7 linked regions of the Cricetulus griseus genome follow. The protein of the gene in region 1 interacts with the protein of each later gene in a pairwise test. Links are inferred from orthologs where the notes say so. Each region holds a gene or a part of one and is shown in the gene's direction. Other genes may lie near its edges. The genes, in order: Keap1, Dpp3, Ccnb1ip1, Mad2l1, Wdr83, Rela and Lsm3.

Region 1 (4,022 bases):
GTTGCAAAACTCAACAAGGGGGCCTTCAAGATGACTCAGCAGGTGAACCAGCTTGTTGCCAAGTATGACAGCCTGAGTTCCATCTCCAGAGTGGAAGCTGGGAATCAGTTTCTTCGAGTCATTCTCTGACCTCTACACAAGCACACACAACACATAAATTAATGTAAAAAAGCCCTGAGTGATGTCACAGCCTTTAACCCCAGCATGCAGGAGGGTCTCTGAGAGTTCAAGGCCAGCCAGTGACAGACAATGAGGCCCTGTCCCAAAAAGAAGTTACAGTGGCGCAGTAGCTAAGAATACTTGGCCCAGCTGGGCTGTGGTAGCGCAAGCCTTTAATCCCAGCACTCGGGAGGCAGAGGCAGGAGGATCTCTGTGGGTTCAAGACCAGCCTGGTCTGCAAAGTGAGTTCTAGGACAGCCAGAGCTACACAGAGAAACCCTGTCTCAAAAAACAAAAACAAACAAAAAACCAAAAATAAGAACAACAAAAAAATTGGGGGGCTGGAGAGATGTCTCACTGGTTAAGAACACTAGCTGGTCTACCAGAGGTCCTGAGTTCAATTCCCAGCAACCACATGGTGGCTCACAACCATCTATAATGAGATCTTGTGCCCTCTTCTGGTGTGCAAGCATGCATGCAGACAAGTGTATACATAATAAATAAATAAAATCTTAAAAAAAAGAAAAACAAAAGAAACAATGACATACTGCTCTTACAGAGGACTCAGGCTTGATTCCCGGATCCCGAATGCTCACACAACCTTGTGTAGACCCAGTTCCAGGGAATCCCATCCTCGGTGGGCACCAAGCATTCACGTGGCGTACATACATATACACATACAGGCAAAACGCTCATACATAAAATTAATAAATTTTTGTTTAAGTTATAAGGATGGAGAGATGGCTCAGCATTTGAGAGTACGTGCAGCTCTTGCAGAGGACCAGAGTTCAATTCCCCCACCCACACGGTGGCCCACAGCCACCTGTGACTTCAGAAGGCAATGCAGGAACACAGTACACAGACACCCAGGCTAAACACCCACCCATACACGCAAACTGAAATGCAAACATTATAAAGTTATCTTAAAAGATATACATATAGATAAAATCAACCAGGTAGATGGGTCCAGCCGGACCGTGTGGGTGTGGGATGTGGGAGGGCCGGAGGGTGCAGGAGGAGCCCCGACAGCCTAACCCGGAGGCAGGCTCCTAGGGCCGCCCAGACCCACGCCCTGCTCCCTCCGCCCGGCACCTGCAGGAAGGGCTGGAACCGCCTCTGCGTGCCCGCCGCTCGTTTCCGCCCTCCCGCTCCTCCCACGCGTGCTGCCCGCTAGCGACCCCGCAGCACCGCGGCCCCGATCCAAGGACCCCCGGGTCCCCTCGGCTCCTCCCGGAAGCGTGGCGCGTGGCGGCCCGGCGGCGCGGATTGGACGCGTGGCACCGACACAGACACCCGGGGGGTGGGACGGAGGTGAGCGAGCACCCGCGGAGATGCGATGGGGAGTCGGCTCCGAGTGCCGCCCGCGGCCGCGCGTGGGGGGCCGTGCACGCGGTGGGGGGAGCGCGTGCCCCCGGTGCGCACCCGGGCCGCCGAGCCCGCCCTCCCGCCGGCGTAGGTGGCGGCCGCGGCCGGCGAGTGAAGGGGAGGGGTCGCCCGCGGCCGGCGCCCCGGGACTCTTATTGTGACAGGGTGGCGCGCTGTGCTTAGTCACCGTGACCCGCGCGGCGGAGGCGGAGGCGGAGCGCGGCCATGGCGGGGTGAGTGCGCCGCTCCGGGCCGGGGCCCGGGATCAGGCCCTGCGGGCCCTCCAGGCGTCTGGGCTGCGCCTCCGAGCGAGCGGTGGGGAGGCCGCCGGAGCAGGCGCCGGGCACCGGGTCGTCGCTGCGCAGCCCCCTGCGCAATGCCAGGCCTGTGCTCCGGCAGTGTGGTCACGCGTGACAGTCGCTCACTTACTGGGGCCCTGGTGCGTTCCACCGCCCCCGGCACCCCCACCGTGGTGCTCTCATAGACATCCTAACACCGGGAGGGGGATGCGATTCCAGCCTGAGCCCCAAAACCCTCGCCCCACATCCCCGATTCAAAATATACCGCGTCCCCTGGCCCCAGCTCTCCAGGGGGCTCCTGGGTCCCTGTATAGCCCATGGTGGGCATTCCTGATGCCCACACTTTCTGCCCCAGAACCTTGGCACCCAGTGTTTCCTCTACACTGTATTTTCAGGCCTCCTCTCTCTTCCTGCTGTGTTCCTGGAGCTCTGAACAGTGCCTACTACATACTTGGCAGGCTCTGTAAATTTTGGTGAGGTGTTGAAGAAAGGAATTTGGCTTGTTGGAGGCAGGGAAGGGAAGGATGGCTGGGACAGTGAGCGAAGAGGTTGGAAAGGGGCTGACTTTGTGGGCCTTTGCAGGCCATTGAGGTAGGTTTCCATTCTTGGGCTTGTTGAAAGGTGTTGGGCGATTCTGAGCAGAAAGGGACATGATGTGATATGTTTCTTAGACGAGCCTTCAGGCGAGTGAGTTGGGACTAATTAGTTTGAATGGAGTCAGGATTATGCAGTTTACTTGGCTTGGCAAACTGTTCTAGAAACTTTTGCTTAATTTTTCTAAAGGAAGCCTGACTGGGCATGGCGGCACACACTGTAATCCCAGCACAGAGGAGGATCAGTAGTTCAAGAGCCCGCCTTAGTTAAATGGTGAATTTGAGGCTAACTTGGGCTCCCAAAGACCCTATCTCCAAAAAAAAAAAACAAAAAGGAAAGACAGAAAAGGAAGCGTTGCAAGGTCTGTCCTCACCTATTCCCAGCTCTGTACTCTTCCCTCCCTCCAGGACCCTAACTGCTAGTGGTGGAATTGTAACTTGTCACCCGGAACCCCATGCAGCCAGAACCCAGGCCTAGCGGGGCTCCCCGCAGCAGCCAGTTCCTGCCCCTGTCGTCAAAGTGCCCCGAGGGGGCCGGGGACGCGGTGATGTACGCCTCCACGGAGTGCAAGGCCGAGGTGACGCCCTCCCAGGACGGCAACCGCACCTTCAGCTACACGCTAGAGGACCACACCAAGCAGGCTTTTGGCATCATGAATGAGCTTCGGCTGAGCCAGCAGCTCTGTGATGTGACCCTGCAGGTCAAATACGAGGACATCCCAGCTGCCCAATTCATGGCTCACAAGGTGGTGCTGGCCTCTTCCAGCCCTGTCTTTAAGGCCATGTTCACCAATGGGCTTCGGGAGCAGGGAATGGAGGTGGTGTCCATTGAAGGTATCCACCCTAAGGTCATGGAGAGGCTTATTGAGTTCGCCTACACGGCCTCCATCTCCGTGGGCGAGAAGTGTGTGCTGCACGTGATGAATGGTGCAGTCATGTATCAGATTGACAGTGTGGTCCGAGCCTGCAGCGACTTCCTCGTGCAGCAGCTGGACCCTAGCAATGCCATTGGCATTGCCAACTTCGCTGAGCAGATTGGCTGCACTGAGCTTCACCAGCGTGCCCGGGAGTATATCTACATGCACTTTGGGGAGGTGAGTCAGGGCTGGGGCCTGGGCTCAGCTGTCACCAGGAGTGAGACAGGCCAACATAGCCATCTCCCCTGGAGACTGGAACAGTCATTCAAGTTTGGAGGAAAGCTTCTGTTTGGTATTTTCTTTTTATTTCCTCCTTTTCCCCCATAGAGTCTCATGTAGCCCAGGCTGGCCCTAATCTGGTTATGTAGCCAAGGATGACTTTAAACTCCTGATTCATCTGCCTCTGTCTCTCTCTCTCTTTTTTTAAGATTTATTTATTATGTATACAGCATTCTGCTTCCATTCTGCCTCCATATATGCCTGCACGCCAGAAGAACGCATCAGATCTCATTAGAGATGGTTGTGAGCCACCATGTGGGTGCTGGGAATTGAACTCAGAACCTCTGGAAGAACAGCCAGTGCTCTTAACCTCTGAGCCATCTCTCCAGCCCCTCTGTCTCTTAAGTACTGGAATTACAGACATTCATAATCACAATTGACTTAAGTGGTACTGGGATGGAGCCCAGGGC
Region 2 (3,302 bases), on another chromosome or scaffold:
GGAGACAGAGGCCAGATGGATCTCTGTGAGTTTGAGGACAGCCTGATATACAGAGTGAGTTTCAGGATGGCCAGGACTGTCACACTGTCACACAAAGAAACCCTATCTCAAAAAGCAAAAAAGAAAAAAGAAAAGAAAACCATGATGTCTTTGGTAGTTTCAGGAGTAGGAAGGGGGCATTAATTGGCAAAGCTAATGAGACCTAGGTGGGGGCTGGAATTTAGTTAGTAGTAAAGGGCCAGTATGAAGGTGGTAAAGAGAGAAAGTCATGCTGACAGCCTCTGGAGCTCACTGTACCATCTTTACAACTTTTTAATAAATACAAGATTTTTTGCTGCAAATGGCAAAAACAAGGAGCTGTTCTCAGAGCATTAGGTGTAGGAATCAAGGAATCAAATCTACCAGCTCCTAAGCAAGATTAAACCAGCCCCTTCTAGAGGCTGAGCCAGTAGGTCTTTTTTTTTTTTTTTTTTTTGAGCAGGGTCTTCTTATGTGGCCCTAGCTGGCCTGCAACTCTCTGTAGACCAGTCTGGCCTCAAACTCACAGAGACTGATTTGCTTCTTTCTCCCTAGTGCTAGGCTAAAGGTGTTACCACCATGAGTGACTCAGTTGAGTCTTTGTACAAGGGGAATCTTACAGCAAGCATCAAGTTCAGTTTCCTCAGCAGTGTTTCACAGAAACAGAATATGAAGTCATCTTTGATTCAGCTGTATATTGTGTCAGCCATGTTTTTCCCACTGGTATTAACAAAGGTTAGGTGTGAACCTGTATTTATGACTTCTTGGGAGGTCTGGCAACAGTAGGCTCAATTCCTCTGTGACTAACTGGCCAGAACTGAATAGTAGCCTCATATTCAGTCATGGCACTGACTATTCATTTTCCCCGGGGACTTCCTGCTTCCTGTTATTCCTATCATCCAATTTCTGTATCCACTAATTCTACATCCATAAATTCAACCAACTGCACACATGCAAAAATATTCAAGAGAATTATCTTGTATGTACTGGGCATCCACAATATTTTTTCTTGCCATTCCCTAAACAGTATAGAATAAGAACAATTTACATAGCATTACATGTCTTGGGTATGATAAGTAATCCAAGGAGCTGGGCTGTCGGTCAGTTGGTAGAGTGCTTGGTGTAATGCACATGAAGCCCTGGGTTCCATCCTCAGCACTGTGTAAAAGTGTCGGTTTGTACCTGTGACCCCAGCACTCAGATCAGGAGTGTAGTGGCATCCTTCACTACATGATTAGTTTGAGGCCAACCTGGGTAGACTACATAGGCTCTGTCTCAAAAAAAAAAAAAAAAATGCATACCTGAAGATACCGCTCAGTGGGTAAATATGCTTGCTGCACAAGCTTAAGGACCTGAGTTAAAATTCCCAGCACCCATGTGAGAAGCCAGGCCTGGTTGCATACACCTGTAACCCCAGCACTGTAAGGGGCATAGTCAGGAGGATCGTTGGGCTTGACCAGCCCCAGGTTTAGTGAGAGGCCTCGTAAGGGTTTATGGTGGAGAGCGATCGAGCGGGATGCCCAGTGTCTTTCTCTGGCTTCCTCTGCACACACCAAACACACATGTGCATATACATCAAACACATAGACACAATTAAATCTTTAAAATTTGTAAGAAATCTAAATGTGGTTAAAATATACTATACCAGAAGATGTGTGGAGCACACCCTTTTGGATTAGTGACTTGAACATGCAGATTTTGTTATCCACCGAGGGTGCTAGAACCCACTCCTAGTAGACTGTAGCTGCCTGAGTCACTGCTGATACTACTGGCTCCTTTGGCATCCGTTTTACTAACTCCAGTTTGAGCTACCCAGGTCTGGCTTGTTGGTGTGATGAACATTACATATTACCAAGAAGTGAGAGAGAGATGACCTGAATCCCCCCCAGAGCTTACATGGGGGAAGGAGAGAAAAGACTCCCATGCACACACACCCCAAGGAAACAGAAAAAGAAAAAAACTAGGGGTTGGGGATTTAGCTCAGTGGTAGAGCGCTTGCCTAGCAAGCGCAAGGCCCTGGCTCATAGGAAAGACAGATTGTAGATCTAACTGAAGACAAAAAGAAATAAAACATGGAGTAGAAAACAATGGGGGGCCAGACTAGGAATTGAACCTCAGACTTCAGTCTTACTAGGCAGGCACTATACCACTGAGCTGTATCTGAAGCTTTCTAAGAGAAAGGTTAAAGAGAAGCGGAGCAATGTCTAATATAACAAGCTCAAGAGCGTGGGAGAGAGACATAGAAGAGACAGTGTCACAGGAGAACCTGTGTTGGTGGAAGGGAAAGATATGCTTCCATAGCTGCCTCTATATGGGCTTTAATACTATTTACACAGGCGGAGCTTGGATGCTGTTAAAAGCCTCACCTCTTTTAATTTTCATTTAAATTGGTTTTGGGTGTGTGTATGTATGTGTGTGAGCGTGGTGTATGTGTGTGTCCTGCTCTATCACTCTCTGCCGTGTTCCCTTGAAACAGGGTCCCTCGCTAAACCTGGAGCAAGGCCGGCAGCCAGCAAGACCCAGGGACACTCCTGTCTCCCCTACCTCCCAGCACTAGGATCACAGACCCATGTGTCATTGCTCAGAGTTTTACATGGGTGCTGGGAATTTGAACTCATGCTTCTCTTTCTTACCCACTGAACCATCTCTTCAACCCCCAAACCCAACCTCTTAATATATACACTAGCCCCTTTTGAATGTATTAGCTGTCAGACATTGTGCTACATAACCTTTAATCTCCACAGGGAAAAGGCAGAAGCAGGCAGTTCTCAAGTAAGTTCAAGGCCAGCCTAGTCTATATAGCGAGACTCTGTCTTTAAAAAAAGGAGAAAAAAAATAGCCATCTAGGATTTTTTTTTTGTTTGTTTTTGAGGCAGTCTTATGTAGTTCAGGCTGTACTCCCTATGTTGCCAAGGATGACTATGAACTCTCGATCTTCCTGTCTCTACCTTCCAAGTTATGGAATTATAGGTGTGTGCCATATACCCAACTGGGTCATTAAGTTTTAGCACTGAAATTTTATAGAAGACAGATCGTTTCATAGCACATCCTATCCAGATCTAGGCCCAGCTGGCTGTGGTCCCTGGCAGAGTCCTGTGGATGCAAGGTGAGTGCCCATTCTACATGCTTAACTCCTCCTCCTTGCAGGTGCTGAAGTCCACAGGGGATGTGGTTGCAGGGCGGGCCCTGTATGAGGGGTATGCAGCCGTCACTGATGCACCTCCAGAGTGTTTCCTCACCCTCAGGGACACAGTTCTGCTGCGCAAGGAATCCCGGAAACTTAT
Region 3 (2,112 bases), on another chromosome or scaffold:
AAAGCTACATAGTGAGATCCTGTCTGGAAAAAAGACAAATAAATAAGGAAGGCTCCTGCCTGGCATGGTGGTGTATGCCTTTAATCCTAGGAGGTTTACTCAGGAGGTTGAGGCAGGTGGATTGCTGTAAGTTTGAGACCAATTGGCCTACAAACTAGTGTCAGTATTAGAGTGAGAGCCAGTCTAAAAATAGTTTTCTGCCTGCTTCATATTTATAAATATCAATTTACTGTAGCAAGTCTTTCTCTGTACAATCAGCTCTCAAATAATGACATGGATGCTTATTATTAATTATGAAAGCTTGGCCAATACCTTAGGCTTGTCCCACTAACTCTTATAACTTAAATTAACCCAATTATATTAATCTATGTTTTGGAGTCGGGTGTTGGTGGCCTTTAAAAATCCCAACACTTGGGAGGCAGAGGCAGGCAGATCTCTGAGTTCGAGGCCAGCCTGGTCTACAGAGCGAGTGCCAGGACAGGCTCCAAAGCTACACAGAGAAACCGTGTCTCAAAAAAAATATATATATATATATGTTTTGCCTTGTGGCTTTTTACCTCTCTTCCATCTTGTACTTCCTGTTTCTTCTGGTGTTTCCCCTGTGCCTAGATTCATTTCCTCTTCTTTTCTCTGTGCCCAGAAGTCCTGCCTAACCTCTTCCTGCCTATCTATTGGTCATTCAGCTCTTTATTAAACCAAACAGAAGGAGCCTTGGCAAAGACACATCTTCACAATGTATAAAATAATTATTGCACAATAATTTAGTCATTCCAAAAATATGTTGTACATATTTTTTTGTTCTTGTAGTTGTTCTTATATTCTTTTTGTACATTATAAAAAGATTTCTTTTTTTATGTGTATTTGTTGCCTGTGTGTGTGTGTGTGTGTGTGTGTGTTATGTATGTGTACTACTTGTGTGCTGCCCATGGAGGCCATAAGAGGGTGTTGGATCCCATGGAACTGGATGGTTGTGACCCATGATGTGAATGCTAGGAACCAAGCCTGGGTCTGCTGCAAGAGCAGCAACTGCTCTTAACCACTGAGCTGCTCTCTAGCCCTGTACTTAGCTTTTGACCTCTGTTACTTTTAGGCAGATACAATCCGCTTTTTCCTCTTGAATGAAATCTATTAAAGCCAAGGAGGGGTCTGGTAGAAATAGTTAGATGTTTATCTAGTCTGTTTGATTTTTCACAGAAGGCATAGTATGTTCTGTCCTGGGGGGGAGCTGAGTGACACAGTCTTTGGTCTTGGGTTAGGTCTGTATTTATCTTATCATAGGAGATGAACTTAAGATAATTATTTTATCCACTCATAGTTGAATTTTGTTAAAATATTTATTTAGCAGCTATTAGTTTGTTTCTAAAGAGCTATTAGGAGATATTCTTACATTCTTCCCTGATTTTCTCCCCCAGGGAACAGCTCAAAGTTTCCTTTGGACCATACACCAGTTGGAAGCCGAGGTGGTGGAGATGAAGATGTTCAGTTCAGACCATTTTTTGTGGATTCCCCCACAGCACCTGAACCCATTAACAACTTCTTTAGTTTTGCTTCTCAAAGCCATGAATCAGAGCAGCAAGTCTGCAGCAGGGCCTTTAAAGCAAAAAGAATTTAGCTTGTTTCACATGTCTAGCCCGTGTCTGTTTTCGTACAGTTTTACTCTAGCTGAAGTAATTGGCATTCCTGAGTTCTCTTCACATTTTCACCTTAGAGGAAGCTGGGTTGCAGTAGGGTGTGTGGCTTCCTGTTTGGTTTCTTCATTTTTTTGCTTAGAGCATAGGCATTTGGTGAATCTCAGTCTCACTGCTCACATAGTCACAACATTGTTGCATAATCCCTGTTTCAGGCCAAACTTCGTTCATGCGTCTGTAAGCACCAGTGTTATATTTACATGGTGCTTTCGGTCTAGTATGTATATGCTAAGTGTGTGCATTGATTTTCTCTACTTGCCAGTATATTTATGTAAAAATTATGATCTTGGAAAGTGTTGGCCAAAAAATGATTGTCTTGGAAAATGGTGGCTTGCTGTTTGCATGTGTTGTACACAGTCATGTATTTTTATTTGTATTAGCTTGTTTTGGAAGTGTGTTGTGCCAGTGAATGAAAGTACAATTT
Region 4 (4,056 bases), on another chromosome or scaffold:
CCATGTGTAACTTTACATGCTCTGGTACAGGCTTTAAATACTCAAAAAGGAAGAGCGTTTGACCAAAGAACTTGAAAGCAAGCTATTTTAATTACAAAGAAAGGGATTCTTGTATGCGTGTGTGTGTGTGTGTGTGTGTGTGTGTGTGTGTGTGTGTGTGTGTGTGTGTGTGTTGAAGGGATTCTCGTGCGTGTGTGTGTGTGTTTACTGTGTGTGTGTGTTTTGAAGGGATTCTCGTGTGTGTGTGTGTGTGTGTGTGTGTGTGTGTGTTTTGAAGGGATTCTCGTGTGTGTGTGTGTGTGTGTGTGTGTGTGTGTGTGTGTGCGGGATTCTCATGTGTGTGTGTTGAAGGGATTCTCGTGTGTGTGTGTTTACTGTGTGTGTGTGTGTGATTCTCGTGTGTGTGTGTGTGTGTGATTCTCGTGTGTGTGTGTTTACTGTGTGTGTGAGTGTGTGTTTACTGTGTGTGTGTGATTCTCGTGTGTGTATGTGTGTGTGTGTGTGTTTCTCGTGTGTGTGTGTTTACTGTGTGTGTGTGTGTGATTCTCGTGTGTGATTCTCGTGTGTGTGTGTGATTCTCGTGTGTGTGTGTGTGTGTGTGTGTGTGTGTGTGATTCTCGTGTGTGTGTGTGATTCTCGTGTGTGTGTGTGTGTGTGTGTTGAAGGCACACACCTTACTGGCTTTACTGGCTGAGCCTTCTCTTGTACCCAGTCCCTATTCTGATATTTCTCCAGAAAATTCGCGTTCCCACACAAAACACAGGCTCTCCCAAACTGCAAACTATCCACGAAGCTGAGACTACTTCGGGGATATTCGGACCTGGACTTAGCCGGCGAGCCTTCCCTCCGTCACCCTGGGGCTCTTCCTGGACACCCCGTCACCCTGGGGCTCTTCCTGGACACCCGACCAGAGGCCCCACCCACAGCGACCCTCCCGGGCGGGAAGCCGGAGAGCGCGGAGCCAGGCCCACTCTGCGCCTGCGCAAGCAGCGAGGGCGGAGCCAGGGCCGGATACAAGTGGCTCTGGGCGGAACTTAGGGGCCGCTCTCTGGTCCTCGAGGGACTGCGTTCACAGCGGAAGCGGCGCTTCTGGACGGAATCTTGAGAGCAGACCGTCCTTAGAGGGTTCAGTTATGGGGGAGGGACTTAGGGCGGAAACCGGAAGTATGGGGCGGGCTTAGGGAGAAATGAGGCGTTTATAGGACGGGGCCGGGGCCGGAAACCGGCGGTGTAGGTGGGGCTTGCGGGACATTGCGCTTGCGCACGGAGCGCCCCGCGGGCTGCGTAGTTATTTTTGAACCGGGTGGCGGGGAATAGCTGAAGGAGCTGAGCCGGGAGGGCGCGGTGTGCGGTGAGGCTGACAGCGGTCTCCGTTAGATCGAGTGATGGCGCAGCAGCTCGCCCGAGAGCAAGGCATCACCCTGCGCGGGAGCGCGGAGATCGTGGCCGAGTTTTTTTGTGAGTTTTGAATGCGGCCGGAGAGCGGCCTGGCCGGGACCTAGGACGCGCTAGGGCGGAACCACCGCCCGGTCTCCTGCTCGTTCGTGCCGTGGCGGAGAACGGAGGGGCCTTCCCTGGGGCATCGTGCCATTCGCGCTTTGAAAGCCGGGGTCTGTGTTGACATCCGCTCAGCACATGTGTATTTGCACTTAGACTGCGGTGTCGTGAGAGTTGGCATTGCTGGGTTGAAGGTTTTCCGGTGTCGTTTTGTGTCAGCTCTGCTTTCTGGAAGACTTGGAAACGTGAGTAGGTGTTCACTGCTCGATTCCTTTCGTTTTCAGCGTTTGGCGTCAACAGCATTTTGTATCAGCGTGGCATATACCCGTCGGAAACCTTTACTCGAGTGCAGAAATACGGACTCACCTTGCTTGTAACTACTGACCCCGAGCTCATAAAGTATCTCAATAATGTGGTCGAACAGCTGAAAGGTAATCACGTTTTGAGTTTTACCTCTGACAGGGTTACGTTTACGAGGGTGGCTTAAAGCAATATGCCTTCTCAAATACAGCGCTTCTGGACTGGGAGGGAGGAAGTAATGGAGGGAAATCCCATCCTTTCTCCCACTGCTTTTAAGTAGCCTGAGTGTATTGATGTTAGGCGTCTCGGAGTCGGAAGTGTCTTATCAGCTGCTTTAGGAATGCATTTTGCGGTTTAAACAGGTACAACGAGTTGATGGTTTTACACGAGATGATTTTGCTCTTCTTAGACACCCATTGATATGCTGCAGTTGTTGTAACCAGGGTATTACTAAATAACAATATACAGGAAAGTTCCGGTTTTACTTTTCAACTATTCTCTTTATCTTCCTTAAAAGCGGTGGCTGTAATTCAGTATCTGGACAGTTTATTTATTCATTCGTAGCTCAGTGTTGTGCTGCCTGTTTGGCCAATACTTATTCCCACCTATTTCTATTCCTTCTGGAATCCTTGTTCCTCGTGTTGCACACCACTTAGGATTGCCATTCTAATTATAATAATCTTTTCTGTGTTTAGCCTTGTATCTCCCAACAAAGTCTTATAAAAACCAATTCCAAAAGCATTACAGCTGTCTTTTTTCTCTCTAGTTTTTCATGTGTTTGGGTGTTTTTCCTGGGTTATGTCTGTATGTACCAGGTGCATGCCTGGTTCCTTAAAAGACCCGAAGAAGGTGTCAATTCTTAGGAAGAGCACCACTGCTCCTAAGAAATTTTTTTTTGCAAAGATGTTTTAGTTTGTTTCTATTGTAGTTTCATTACAGTGTTCATTGCATTTTTTTTTTGTTGTTGTTAACTTTAGCATTAAAATGACCTTCTTTTGGTGACCAGCTGAACATAGACATCTCTTTAAGGCCATATTTTTTTTGTTTTGTTTTACTTTTGAGGCAGGGTCTCTCAAAAGCTCTTGACTATCCTGAAATTCGATAACCTTGAAGCCCTGTAGATAAAGTTGCTCTTGGTTGAGAACTTCTTTGATAGATTAGACAGCTAGAATAGGAAAGGTGAAGTACTTGATAAATATGTGGAGATAGATTTCTATTCTCAAGTGCAAGCAAGATACGTATACGCTGAGAGGAGCAGCCCATCTCTCATTATTTTCCCAGATTGTGGGTCAGGGTGGAATCATGTATGGTCATTGGATGTCACTCATACTTGACCTGGAACTGCTAGATAGCTATTGCTAGGTGTCATCACCATCATCATCATCCTGGTTCAATAGAGAATCCAGCCTTAACTGATACTGGGGTTACAGGTTGTCACTGGTGACATTGTACCTCATCTACATTTTTGTTGTCACTCACTTCTCCTGTCCTAGTTAAAACACAGGAATTGCTCTTTATGAATAGGCAAATTGTTCTCTTTCTTTTCAGTCCCATTTCCTCTAGCCTTTTTAGAAGCATTTTACTTCTTTCTTTCTTTCTTTCTTTTCTTTCTTGTATTTTCTGTTTCTCTGTTATGATTTCCATTCTTCCTGTTGGTTTCATCTCCCTCCAACTTTAATCTTACAAAAGAAAAATGATGTATACTGAGTTGCTATCCCAATTTCAGTATTAACTCAGGGTTCCATCTGAGATCCTCTTTATAATTGCTAGATTATCTGTGCCATTCACAACTTCACTACCAACTTTTATGTGATTAAGCTAACCCTCTACTCCAGACTCATAAACAACGTGACATCTCTGTATGCTTTATACTCTGCAGAATAAAAACTAAATGTAGGATGATCTCGAGAATTGTTCATTAGTTACTAGGTTAACAGTCCAACGAGAAATGAAGTCTGAAACCTGAAAGCTACCTCAAAATGATTCTTTTTGGTTTTTCTAGACAGGGTTTCTCTGTGTAGCTTTGGAGCCTATCCTGGCACTCGTTCTGGAGACCAGGCTGGCCTCGAATCAAAATGATTCTTATTGAAAGCTAATCAGATAATCTTAACAGTTTTAAGCATGAAATTGCTTTGTTCCCTCTCTACCGGTTTATGCTATGAACTTTGAATCCTAGTGTCTGTAGACCCTCTTTTTACCCCCTCCAGCTAACTTACTACCAAGTATGATAGTTTGGAAACACAAGTTTAATTGTTCACT
Region 5 (3,500 bases), on another chromosome or scaffold:
AGCTCTGCCTCCTGAGTGCTGTACCTCAAAGCCTGGCCCAGCTCAGGTAACATTTCATTCTGTAAGTCAAAATAAGGATCCCAAAAAGCTGAGCATAGAGGTTAGTTTTGTTAACTATGGGAGATGGAGAGATGAGTAGTTAAAAGCATTGGCCTCTCTTCCAAAGAAACATAAGTTCAATTCCCAGCACCCATATGATGACTTACAATTGTTTGTAATTTCAGTTCCAGAGAATCTGATACCCTTTTCTAACCTGTGCAGGCACCAGGCATGCACATGGTACACAAACATACATGCAGGCAAAATACAGGGTTTCTCTGTGTAGCTTTGTAGACCAGGCAGGCTGGCCTTGAACTCAGAGATCCGCCTGCCTCCCAGCAAACATATAATTTTCTGAGAGTAGTGAAAGGCCATGTTTCTTTGAGGGAAAGATTGGAACGAAGTGGCTGTGCTTTGAAAGTTTCCTGGTGAGCTAAATGTGATAGGACACCTGTAACCCAGCAGGAGTTCAAGGACAGCCTCAGTCACATGGTGAAAGGAGATGAGCCAGGGCTCTATGAGATTCTGTCTCAAAAAAGGCAATGAAAGCTGCTGGGTGGGCCTGGGCACTAAGGATTGGAGATTCCAGGCAGAAAGCTTCATACATGTAAGAATAAGACTGGAAGTGGGAAAGGAATCACACCCTGAGAGCAGTTGCTTTGTTATCTGCAGTAGGCTGGTTTTAGAGTCTACCAAGGACAGCAAACTTTAGGCTGCTCCAGCCCTCTGTAAAATAGCTTTCATTGAGCCTGTACATCCTAATACATGGTCGTGGTTTGTGTGTTAAGGATGGAACTCAGGGCTTTGTGTATGCTAAGAGGCCAGCCTGGTCTACAGAGTGAGTTCTAGAACATCCAGGGCTACACAAAGAAACCTTGTCTTAAAAAAAACAGATAATACGCCGAGAGGTGGTGGTGTATGCTTTTAATCCCAGCACTTGGGAGGCAGAGGCAGGCAGATCTCTGTGAGTTTGAGACCAGCCTGGTCTACAAGAACTAGTTCCAGGACAGCCTCCAAAGCCACAGAGAAACTCTGTTGTCAAAAAACCCAAAAAGGGGGCTGGAGAGATGGCTCAGCGGTTAAGAGCACTGGCTGATCTTCCAGAGGTCCTGAGTTCAATTCCCAGCAACCACATGGTGGCTCACAACCATCCCTTATGAGATCTGGTGACCTCTTCTGGTGTGTAGATATACATGGAAGCAGAATGTTGAATACATAATAAATAAATAAATAAAATCTTTAAAAAAAAAAAAAGAAAAAAAAAAAACATAATAGTCTTATAAGAATAGTCCTGAGCTGCAGTTGGTCAAATGTGGATGTAGACAGAGACAGACAGGGTTGACTGCTGTGCCGATGCAGATCTAGAGAGCTCTGGGGGTTTGGAAAAGAGGGCACAGTCTTTGAATGGAACCAAATTGTCCCCTGGACCTAAGTCACAAAACAAGAGAGCATTTTTTTCCCTTGCTCACACTTTCATAGATAGCCAAAAATGCATGGGGACACAGGTTGCCCATGGAGTAAATAGTTGTAATGCTTCTACTTTTTCTTGCAGCTCTGTGGATGGTCGAGTGAGGCGCTATGACCTAAGGATGGGGCAGGTCTTCTCAGACTACGTGGGCAGTGAGTGTGGTCTCGGGTCCCAGCAGGACAATCAAGGCAGATGATGGGGCAGACAAGAGCATCCAGATTCACCTGCCTGCCATACTCTCTCCCAGGCCCCATCACCTGCACCTGCTTCAGCCAGGATGGTCAGTGCACTCTGATATCCAGCCTGGACTCTACTTTGCGGCTTCTAGATAAAGACACAGGGGAACTGCTGGGCGAGTAAGTCTCCTTGGTTGGCCTTTCCCCCTCACCCTACTTTTGAGGCTAGAAGGAACAAGCCCCTCAATTCCACCCACCTCTACTGCTAGGTATGTTGGCCATAAGAACCAGAAGTACAAGCTAGACTGCTGCCTGAGTGAGCGTGACACACATGTGGTCAGCTGCTCTGAGGATGGGAAAGTGTTCTTCTGGGACCTGGTAGAGGTAAGCCTTCCCCTTTCACTCCTTGCCAGGGCATCAGCTATATGTTTACCTCAGCTACTCTCAGGTCTGAAGAGAGCAGTAATGTTAGGTATTTGAGCTGGGACCTCTGGCATAGAGTGTAGAGGTGGGTCTCACTTTGTAGCCCCACACTGGGCTTGAATTTATCCTGCCTCAGCCTCCCAGGCTGGAGTTTGAAGGAAGGAGGTAAAAGAAGGTAGCAAATTCAATAAGAGAAACAGCATATGCTAAGGAACCTGGAGAAGGTGGTGGCTGTAGCTGGCTCCAGGTCAGACAGAGCTGTAAGTGCCAGGCTGAGCTACTAAAGCATGAGAAGAGCCAGTGCGGGGCACCAAGCCTGGGCTTGCATCACCCAAGAAAACCTGATCTGCATGTGGGCTTCATACGGCTTTAAACCTGATATGCCCCAAGTGGGAAATGGACCATTAGCTTAGTGAGATCAGGGTTCTAGGGCCTCCAAGAAGGAGATATCACTGTTGGGGTCCAGTCAGCAGAATTAAGCTCAGTAAGAAGACTGGGGAAACTATGGAACCCCAGAGACGAGCTCTTGCTTTGGGAACTAAGGTAACAAGAACAGTCTGTCAACTTCTAAAACTCCTGACTAAAATTAACCTTGAAGGGCACACAAAGGTACACAAAGTATGAGGTTAGGAACTATAGTATTGTAACTATGGGGTGTAAGGCAAATAACAATCACTGGGCCTGCCAAGTAGGCCTGCTAGTGCCCAGAATGTCAGAGAACAGTGAACTCAGAACAAGACAGGCCTGGAGCAAGAAGCAGAACAGGCACTTCTAGAGTCTGAAGGCAGTGCCAAGAGGGTCCCCTGTAGAACATGCATGTAATCCAGCAACTGGTGAGGCTATGAAAGACACTGAGTTCCAAGACAGCCTGTAATCCCAGCACTATATTGCAAATAAAGAAAGGTTTGCTGAGTCGAATGGTGGTGGGGTACGCCTTTAATCCCAGCACTTGGAAGGCAGAGGTAGATGGATCTCTGAGTTCAAGGACAGCCCAAGCTGTTACAGAGAAACCCTGTCTCAAAAAAAAAAAAAAAAAAAAAAAAAAGCAGCAGCATTTGCTGCAAGTATGAGGCCAGCCTGGGACTACAGAGCCCTTTGTGTTTTTGTTTTTTTAAAAGAGGGTAAGAGTGAGTGAGGCAGGCTGGAGAGATGGCTCGGAGGTTAAGAGCACTGACTGCTCTTCCAGAGGTCCTGAGTTCAGTACCCAGCAACCACATGGTGGCTCACAACCATCTGTTAAAAGATCTGGTGCCTTCTTCTGGTGTGTAGATATACATGGAAGCAGAATGTTGTATACATAATAAATAAATAAATAAAATCTTTATTTAAAAAAAAAAAAAGAGTGAGTGAGGTATAAGAGACTCCCAGGATACTTAAGCACCTGGAGGTAGAGC
Region 6 (3,500 bases), on another chromosome or scaffold:
GCAGCTCACAGGAAGCTCTCAGATGACCTGGGCTGACACTGATGGATTAGTAAGCAGCAGGGCAATTGAAAATAAAAGGCCTTTGGAGCCCCAAGGACCGGAAACCAGGATTAACTGGGAGTGAGGAGGGAAAGACTCATTGCCAAGGGTAGAGATGAACCAAAAGCTGAAAATGTGTTTGATCAGGCAGAGGGAGACAAGGTGTCAGATTGTTTCCTTTGGGCTGTAAGGTCTGTGAGGACAGGAATACGTTGGGCTCTTTGTTGCTCTGCTGCCTTTTCTAGAGCCATGCTCCACACACACAGCAGGAGGTGTTTTTGAATTGGTTGAGGTGAAGAGCAGATGGGATTAGTCTGCAGAAGTGTTGTCAGCAAGCTGTGGAAGGAAGACCTTGACATGGGACTTGCCAGGCATCGCTGTTACATCTCCTGTCGGGTGCCCTGGAGACCTGTGGTGGCTCAGGGTTTCCATCCATGTCACATCCTCAGGTGCACCCAACACTGCTGAGCTCAAGATCTGCCGAGTAAACCGGAACTCCGGGAGCTGCCTTGGTGGGGATGAGATCTTCTTGCTGTGTGACAAAGTGCAGAAAGGTACACACTGGGCTATGTGTGCCACGAGGGGCGGGGTGAGGCTGAGAGGGTGATGAGTGCCAGGGACCTCAGTGGCTTCAGGAGAAACAGGGTGACGTCTCAGGGGAAAAGCATCAGGAGTTGGGGACCAAGGTCCATTGGAATTCAGATACTAACCCTTACTACTCTGTCTCCTGCAGAAGACATCGAGGTGTATTTCACTGGACCAGGCTGGGAAGCACGAGGCTCCTTTTCTCAAGCTGATGTGCACCGGCAAGTGGCTATTGTGTTCCGGACTCCTCCATACGCTGACCCCAGCCTGCAGGCTCCTGTGCGTGTCTCCATGCAGCTTCGGCGGCCTTCTGATCGGGAGCTCAGTGAGCCCATGGAGTTCCAGTACCTGCCAGACACAGGTGTGATGCTAGGGAGAGCAGTACCAAGGCTTCTGTACCCCAGCTGGGAAAAAGACCAGGATGTCTGGGACAAGCACATAGGATTTATACATACTGTAGTTCATTGCACATAGTATTTCTGTCAAAGACCACATATGCCATGGTGGTCATATAACACTGCGCTATCTAGCTGGGCAGTGGTGGCTCACCCTTAATCCCAGCTCTCAGAAGGCAGAGGGAAATGAATCTATGAGTTCGAGCCCAGCCTGGTCTATAGAGCTAGCTCCAGAATAGCCAAGGCTACACAGAGAAACTCTGACCTGGGGGAGGGGGGTGAGGAACTACACTGTCTAATGACATAGGTGTCTTAGTTTGTGTAAGTAATCTTTGAGATGCTCATATAAACAAAGAGAGAGAGAGAGAGAGAGAGAGAGAGAGAGAGAGAGAGAGAGAGAAAGAAAACCAGGGCTGGAGAGGTGTCTCAGAGGTTAAGGGCACTCTTTGCTCTTCCAGAGGTCCTGAGTTCAATTCCCAGCACCCACACACATGGTTGCTCACAATCATCTATAGTTGGATCTGGTGCCCTCTTCTGGCATAGGTCCTATGTGCAGATATAGCACTCATATTCATAAAATAAATCTTTAAATTTCAAGAAAAATAAAAAAAAAGGTAAAACCAGCACCTGGGAGGCAGAGGCTAGCAGATGGATCTCTGTGAGTTCTAGGCCAGCCTGGTCTACAAAGTGAGTGCCAGGATAGGCTCCAAAGCTACACAGAGAAACACTGTCTTGAAAAACAAAACAAACCAAACAAAAAAGATGAAAAAGATGCTCATATAATAAGCTGGGTACTCCAGCAAACGTGTGTAGCTAGCGTGCAGATGGTGTGGAAATAGACGGACCTCTAGAGCTATTTGGCCAGCCAGCCTTGCTCCAGATTCAGTGAGAGGTACTGTCTCAAAAAATGAAGTGGGCTGGACATGGCAGTGCACACCTTTAATCCCAGCACTTGGGAGGCAAAGACAGGCAGATCTCTGTGAGTTCAAGGCCAGCCTGGTCTACCTTACAAGTTCCAGACCAGCCAGGGCTATATAGTGAGATCGTATCTCAAATAATTAAGGTGGATGGGGCTGGAAAGATGGCTCAGTGGTTAAGAGCACTTGCTGTTCTTCCAGAGAACCCAGGCTTCATTCCCAGCACCCTGTCTAGTTCCACGGGATCTGACACTATTCTGAACTCTGCAGGCACTGGGCATGTACAAGGTGCTCACACATATAAGCAGGCATTGAGCCTTGGCTTTGACATACTCATACACACATCTGTACACACATGCATGCACATTCATACACCTACATGAACACACACACACAGACACACACACAGAGGTAATAATAAAATGGATATTCATCCAATGACAAATTTGCCTAGCAACATGTCTTAAGATGTGTCCCCATTGTTTTTTTTTTTTGAGGGGGGTGTTTGAGACAGGGTTTCTCTGTGGCTTTGGAGGCTGTCCTGGAACTAGCACTTGTAGACTAGGCTGGTCTCGAACTCAGAGATCCACCTGCCTCTGCCTCCTGAGTGCTGGGATTAGAGGCGTGCGCCACCGCCACCACCACCACTGCCAGGCTGTGCCCCCATTGTCAAGCAACATATAATTATAGTCATAATCTATTTCTTCCCTAACTCTGACATCCAACTTATTCAGCTCTGTCTACTGTATCTACCCTTCCTATGAGTGGTCCTTTTAACCTCTCATCGCCTTTTTTGTTTTTGTTTTTGTTTTTTTTTTTTTTTTTTTTTTTGGTTTTTTGAGACAGTGTTTCTGCTCTGAAGACCAGGCTGGCCTCACAGAGATCCGCCTGCCTCTGCCTCCTGAGTGCTGGGATTAAAGGCCTGTGCCACCAATGCCTGGCGTATCATCACCTTTTTAGGGGAATGATTTAACAGAATTCACTAGCAGTAGAGGCAGTGGCACACCTAAACCAAGGTCACTTAGCTTTGTGGACTTTGTGCCACCTTGTGTCTCTTATCACTTTTGGGGGACCAAAATAGTTCCATTATAGAATGTTTTGAGGTCCAGCCTCTGGTTTCACGGAAAGCTCCGGCCCACTATTGTATTGCTAATGCTAGCAGGTCTGCTATTGTTTACAATAGCCTTAGTATAGAATGCCTCCTAGTTTGCATCTCTATGGGCCTAAGCATCTGAATAGGCCTGCATCTGGGCCTAGGTGCTAGGTGTAAGGTACAAGTGAGGACAGACAGGAGCCATCCGACCAGAGAGGAGAACAGAAGGACAGCAGTGGTCTCCTCGTGGCCATGGAAGCATGGTTAAGAAACAGCCAAAAAGATGGTAAATAGAGAAGAGACTCCAGTTTTACAACATGGAACTGAGAGCTCTCTAAAGATGACAAGATGCCTGTGTTTGGTCTTTATCGAGGCTGGGTTGCTAGGAGTTTCCAGGTCCACACATCCCCACTCAGGCCGAACCTCATGGCTTAAGGCTGAGACATGCCAGGTCACCACAGTCACTAATCC
Region 7 (3,983 bases), on another chromosome or scaffold:
TGATAGGTGAATAGGAACATCACTGTGATTCTGTGGTGGAGGATACCTAGGAATGACTACTTTAAGATGACCGTGGAATGTCTTAGACCTCAAGTAGAGAAGAAATTAGACCCAGCAACAGCGACGGAGAACATTCTAAGGCAAAGAAACATGGAAGGCCAAGCCTCCAGATAAATAAACAGTATATTCAAAGAAGAGAAAGGCAGTCACCAAGAGCCATCTGTAATCCCTGTGATCATGAGGATGAGACAGGAAAAACCCAGAGCTCTAGGCCGGGCTGCTGTTTAAAATAAGAATATCTGGAAGAGAGACATGCTAAGTGAGGTAGATGCTATACACGGAGAGCACACATCTAAGAAGGTTTTAAGTAAGAAGACCAAGGCATATGAAGTTTTGTTGTCGTTCTACATCACTTGGCTGCTGGATGGAGATCTGATGTAGAGGGGAACTCACTCAACTAGAAAACGACAGGAACAGGATACCAGCTATGAAATTAAGAGAATTAGGCACATATTTCAGTGACTCCGAAGCTGAACTGGACCTCCTGACGAACTAGCAGTTAAGAAAAGGCGTGTTTTAACAGGTGGGTGAAGGAGTGATTTATTGAGATGGGAATATTTTAAGCTTCTCCTTGGTTCAAGACCAAGGTAAGAAGCGCATCGCAAACCTGGGGCCGGAATTACAGTGGATGCAACTTGGAGAGAGATTCTCACACTACAAGGTCTCCCTCTGTCCTAGTTTTGGTGTCTCTCTGACACCGGGCAACAGGGAAGCTTTTTCCTGATCGGCCCTCAACACTTGCCAAGAGGCTGGACTTGGTCCTAGGGGTTACGGTGGGGTCAGGGCTGATGGTAGAGGCCCTCGGGGCGCCGCGCATCCGGCCGTGGAGACCTTCCGCCCCGCTGCCCGCCCCAGCCTCCGCCACCATCGCCTTGCGCGCCGCAGCCTCTCACCCGCCTCGCTCTCCTCCGGCCGGGCTGCTTTGTTGTTCTCGGCTTCTCGGCCGCGCCCCCGCCGCCTTCCTCCCGCAGGGCGCTTCGGAGCCATGCTGCCCGGCAGCGACACTCCGGGCTACCGCAGCCAGCCGGCCGCAGACACTCTCCGCGTGCTCGCCCCGCCCCGAGGCGGGCCATGCCTGGGCCGCGCCCCCTGACCAGGTTGGGACCACGCCCTCCGGAGAAACCCCTCCCCCTGCAAACTACAGGGGCGCAAAGGGACAAAAATAAAGTAGGTCTACTTCCCGAGAGTGGAACCCTTTGCGTTTCTGAGTGCCTGTTCTCGCGAGAGGTGGAAAGGGCGCAGCGTTTGAAACATGGCGGACGACGTAGATCAGGTAAGTTTGTCCGGAGGCGCTCTTAGAGGAAGCGCTTGCGCTTCCAGGTCGGGTTCGCGTTTTCCACGCTCGCTGAGAAGCGGCCCGTCTCTCTTTGTCCCGAGGAACCACGGCCTTCCGTAGCCGCGCCGGCTCCTGAAACTTCCGCAGGCCTAGAGTTTTCTCAACCCGCCTATCTGCCCATCACGCTCGGCATCGGCTTTTATCTGTAAAATGCAAACGGCTGTCGACACCAGACAGAAAGCGTGAGGTAGTGGTGGACACCAGCTTTGTAATACGTGCAAGCGCCTGGTGCGCAGGCAGCGGCTCACTTGGAGTGCAGTAGGAGGGAGGGAGGGAGGTAGAGAACCTGGTGGAGATGTAGTCTGGAGAAAGCAAGCCAAGATCGGGTGCACACAGGATCACAGGCTGCCCTCTTCACCTGCTCTTCCCCCTATTCCTTAGCTACCTGTGGAGTTCCGAAATGATTGCACTCCCTCACACGCACACGCACCCACACACGGGTATTTAAAATAACAGAGCATGTTATTTTAAATATGTATTTCTTTATCTGAGACATTTCTTCCATAACTAGAACGTAAGTTACTTAATAGGGGCATTGGGGCGGGGGTGGCTGGAGAGGTTGCTTTAGGAGTTAAGAGCACTTGTTGCTTTTGTAGAAGACCATGGTTGGGATCCAGCACCCACATGTTGGCTTAACAGCACCCCAACGCATCTTAACTCCAGTTGCAGGAGGGGATCCTCTGCCCCCTTCTGGCCTCTGCTACCGAGCACTGTGTCAGCGTGTGGTGCACATGCATACAGGCAAACTGCTCACATACACGATAAAAGTAAACCTTTAAAATAAAGGGGGGTTTTCTGTGTTTGCTTTTCTTTCCTAGGTTTAGGACAGTGCTGTTAGCACTCAGCAGGTTATTAGTTGAGGGAACGAACCCAATGTTCAGGGGCAGCTTCTTTGAAAAGGCAGAATGTAAAGCTTACAGGGTGAAAAGGATTGACAGTGGCCATCCTAGACTGAAGAGGGCTGTCGTGGGAACAGATTTCATTGTTTTGCAGCTATGTATTTATATGCCCCTCTCCATACTAGAGTGAGCTCCATTGAGGGGATGCGGCTTCTGTATTGTTGTAATCCAGTGGTTGGTTGTCTGATTTCTTAACAAAAGCCTGCTGAGCTAAGGTGGGAGGAGGAAAGCACCAGTTGAGATCCGGGGTTGGGGGTGTTCTGGGAGGGTTGTTTGTTTCCTGTCATCAGCCTCATATCTACACAGCCTACAATTTTCAGCTTTCACTGACCCCAGGTACTCACTGGAGAAGCTTGCTGAATGGTCTTACTAATTCTTGATGGCTGGAACCACCTCTTTCATATAGCTGAATCCAGGTCATCCCAGTTCTAACCTTTGAAACCTGTTCCAACAGTTCTTGAAGAGTAATTCTGATTTATCATTCCTCTGAAATGACTGACCAAGAATGCATTCTTAAATCTTGAAGCAAGCAAGAGATTATATTAAATATAAGAAATTACAGGTGCTGGGAGTGGGGCTGGTAAGATAACAGGTAAAAATGCTTGCAGTTTGTAAGCGTGACAACCTGAGTTCAATTCCTGGGACACACAGAGGAAGGAGAGAACTTTATAAAGTTGTCTTCTGACAGCTACTTGAACCCCATCACACACACACACACACACACACACACACACACACACACACACACACACTCTTAAAAGTTCCAGACTCGGTTCATACCTGCCCAATCCCAGCATCTGAGAGGCAAAGACTTGCTGCTCATCAAAGGCTGTCATGGGCATGCCTCTTAAAAAAAAAAAAAAAGGTAATTATTTAGAAGTGTTTCCTTTTTACTTCAGATAGACCCTTTAGTCCTTATAAGATCTCTGAGGCAAAGATGTGGTCTCCCCAGTTTGCAAATGAGGAGTCTGAAACAAGAAATGGCATGATTTTTAATCCCAGTTCAGAAGAGCCAGGTCAGAACCCAGAATTGAACAAAGGCTTCCTAATGACTCAGTTCTTTTAACTTCTATACTATACTACTCGGTAGGTAGGTTCATCTTGCCAGCCAATTAGCACCCTAAACTTAACCTGCGCTGTACTGACTTCAAATTCTGTCAGATCTTTTTAGTAGTGTGTGAATAGGTATTGCAGGTATGTTTTTCAAATGATTGAATTATACAAAAGATAAAGCTAAGGTTCCTAAGTGGTACTCTAACACTTTGGATTTTTTGGAAGTTCAGTCATCATTTTGCTACTTAACTCCTCTCCACATAATGTTTTTCTCCTCTTTTACATAGCATCGAGGCACCGTTCTAAGCTTTCATATGTCATTTAAAATAATAGTATTGGGGAGACACTATTTTCTGCATTTGGCAAATTAGACTAAGGTATAAACGGGTTATGTGACTAGCCCTTGGTTTCACTGCTTAACAGTGATTGAAACACCACTCTGCCTCTGGTGGTCCATTACTAAGTGTGTTTCCTTCATCAGCAACAGACTACCAATACCGTAGAGGAGCCCCTGGATCTCATCAGGCTCAGTTTGGATGAGCGAATTTATGTGAAGATGAGAAACGACCGAGAGCTTCGAGGCAGATTACATGTAAGTCTTTTAAATTATCTCAAAACCAGATGTTTCCCTATCA

The links.
Region 2: the proteins of Keap1 (region 1) and Dpp3 interact in binary tests that used the Homo sapiens proteins (3 or more experiments, as listed by UniProt). The two-hybrid records come from large-scale screens. The link is inferred for Cricetulus griseus from reciprocal best matches to the Homo sapiens genes KEAP1 and DPP3.
Region 3: the proteins of Keap1 (region 1) and Ccnb1ip1 interact in binary tests that used the Homo sapiens proteins (3 or more experiments, as listed by UniProt). The two-hybrid records come from large-scale screens. The link is inferred for Cricetulus griseus from reciprocal best matches to the Homo sapiens genes KEAP1 and CCNB1IP1.
Region 4: the proteins of Keap1 (region 1) and Mad2l1 interact in binary tests that used the Homo sapiens proteins (3 or more experiments, as listed by UniProt). The two-hybrid records come from large-scale screens. The link is inferred for Cricetulus griseus from reciprocal best matches to the Homo sapiens genes KEAP1 and MAD2L1.
Region 5: the proteins of Keap1 (region 1) and Wdr83 interact in binary tests that used the Homo sapiens proteins (3 or more experiments, as listed by UniProt). The two-hybrid records come from large-scale screens. The link is inferred for Cricetulus griseus from reciprocal best matches to the Homo sapiens genes KEAP1 and WDR83.
Region 6: the proteins of Keap1 (region 1) and Rela interact in binary tests that used the Homo sapiens proteins (3 or more experiments, as listed by UniProt). The link is inferred for Cricetulus griseus from reciprocal best matches to the Homo sapiens genes KEAP1 and RELA.
Region 7: the proteins of Keap1 (region 1) and Lsm3 interact in binary tests that used the Homo sapiens proteins (3 or more experiments, as listed by UniProt). The two-hybrid records come from large-scale screens. The link is inferred for Cricetulus griseus from reciprocal best matches to the Homo sapiens genes KEAP1 and LSM3.

What each region holds. Positions count from the first base shown.
Region 1 is NC_048597.1:134,095,702-134,099,723, reverse strand, and holds the start of Keap1 (kelch-like ECH-associated protein 1), read left to right. Parts: upstream 1-1,222; 5' UTR 1,223-1,470; intron 1,471-1,607; exon of another isoform or gene 1,608-1,757; intron 1,758-1,795; exon of another isoform or gene 1,796-1,963; intron 1,964-1,979; exon of another isoform or gene 1,980-2,218; 5' UTR 2,219-2,414; intron 2,415-2,824; 5' UTR 2,825-2,871; coding exon 2,872-3,510; intron 3,511-4,022. UniProt on the Homo sapiens protein: Substrate-specific adapter of a BCR (BTB-CUL3-RBX1) E3 ubiquitin ligase complex that regulates the response to oxidative stress by targeting NFE2L2/NRF2 for ubiquitination.
Region 2 is NC_048596.1:54,373,667-54,376,968, forward strand, and holds part of Dpp3 (dipeptidyl peptidase 3), read left to right. Parts: intron 1-3,165; coding exon 3,166-3,302. UniProt on the Homo sapiens protein: Cleaves and degrades bioactive peptides, including angiotensin, Leu-enkephalin and Met-enkephalin. Also cleaves Arg-Arg-beta-naphthylamide (in vitro).
Region 3 is NW_023276807.1:206,446,618-206,448,729, reverse strand, and holds the end of Ccnb1ip1 (E3 ubiquitin-protein ligase CCNB1IP1), read left to right. Parts: intron 1-1,412; coding exon 1,413-1,612; downstream 1,613-2,112. UniProt on the Homo sapiens protein: Ubiquitin E3 ligase that acts as a limiting factor for crossing-over during meiosis: required during zygonema to limit the colocalization of RNF212 with MutS-gamma-associated recombination sites and thereby establish early differentiation of crossover and non-crossover sites.
Region 4 is NC_048601.1:76,486,659-76,490,714, reverse strand, and holds the start of Mad2l1 (mitotic spindle assembly checkpoint protein MAD2A), read left to right. Parts: upstream 1-1,256; 5' UTR 1,257-1,385; coding exon 1,386-1,458; intron 1,459-1,781; coding exon 1,782-1,928; intron 1,929-4,056. UniProt on the Homo sapiens protein: Component of the spindle-assembly checkpoint that prevents the onset of anaphase until all chromosomes are properly aligned at the metaphase plate.
Region 5 is NC_048596.1:159,287,796-159,291,295, forward strand, and holds part of Wdr83 (WD repeat domain-containing protein 83), read left to right. Parts: intron 1-1,591; coding exon 1,592-1,659; intron 1,660-1,754; coding exon 1,755-1,863; intron 1,864-1,952; coding exon 1,953-2,067; intron 2,068-3,500. UniProt on the Homo sapiens protein: Molecular scaffold protein for various multimeric protein complexes. Acts as a module in the assembly of a multicomponent scaffold for the ERK pathway, linking ERK responses to specific agonists.
Region 6 is NC_048596.1:53,704,338-53,707,837, reverse strand, and holds part of Rela (transcription factor p65), read left to right. Parts: intron 1-488; coding exon 489-593; intron 594-772; coding exon 773-985; intron 986-3,500. UniProt on the Homo sapiens protein: NF-kappa-B is a pleiotropic transcription factor present in almost all cell types and is the endpoint of a series of signal transduction events that are initiated by a vast array of stimuli related to many biological processes such as inflammation, immunity, differentiation, cell growth, tumorigenesis and apoptosis.
Region 7 is NC_048601.1:52,288,973-52,292,955, reverse strand, and holds the start of Lsm3 (U6 snRNA-associated Sm-like protein LSm3), read left to right. Parts: upstream 1-1,183; 5' UTR 1,184-1,312; coding exon 1,313-1,333; intron 1,334-3,829; coding exon 3,830-3,940; intron 3,941-3,983. Other genes in the region: Xpc (DNA repair protein complementing XP-C cells), read right to left, coding at 954-1,047. UniProt on the Homo sapiens protein: Plays a role in pre-mRNA splicing as component of the U4/U6-U5 tri-snRNP complex that is involved in spliceosome assembly, and as component of the precatalytic spliceosome (spliceosome B complex).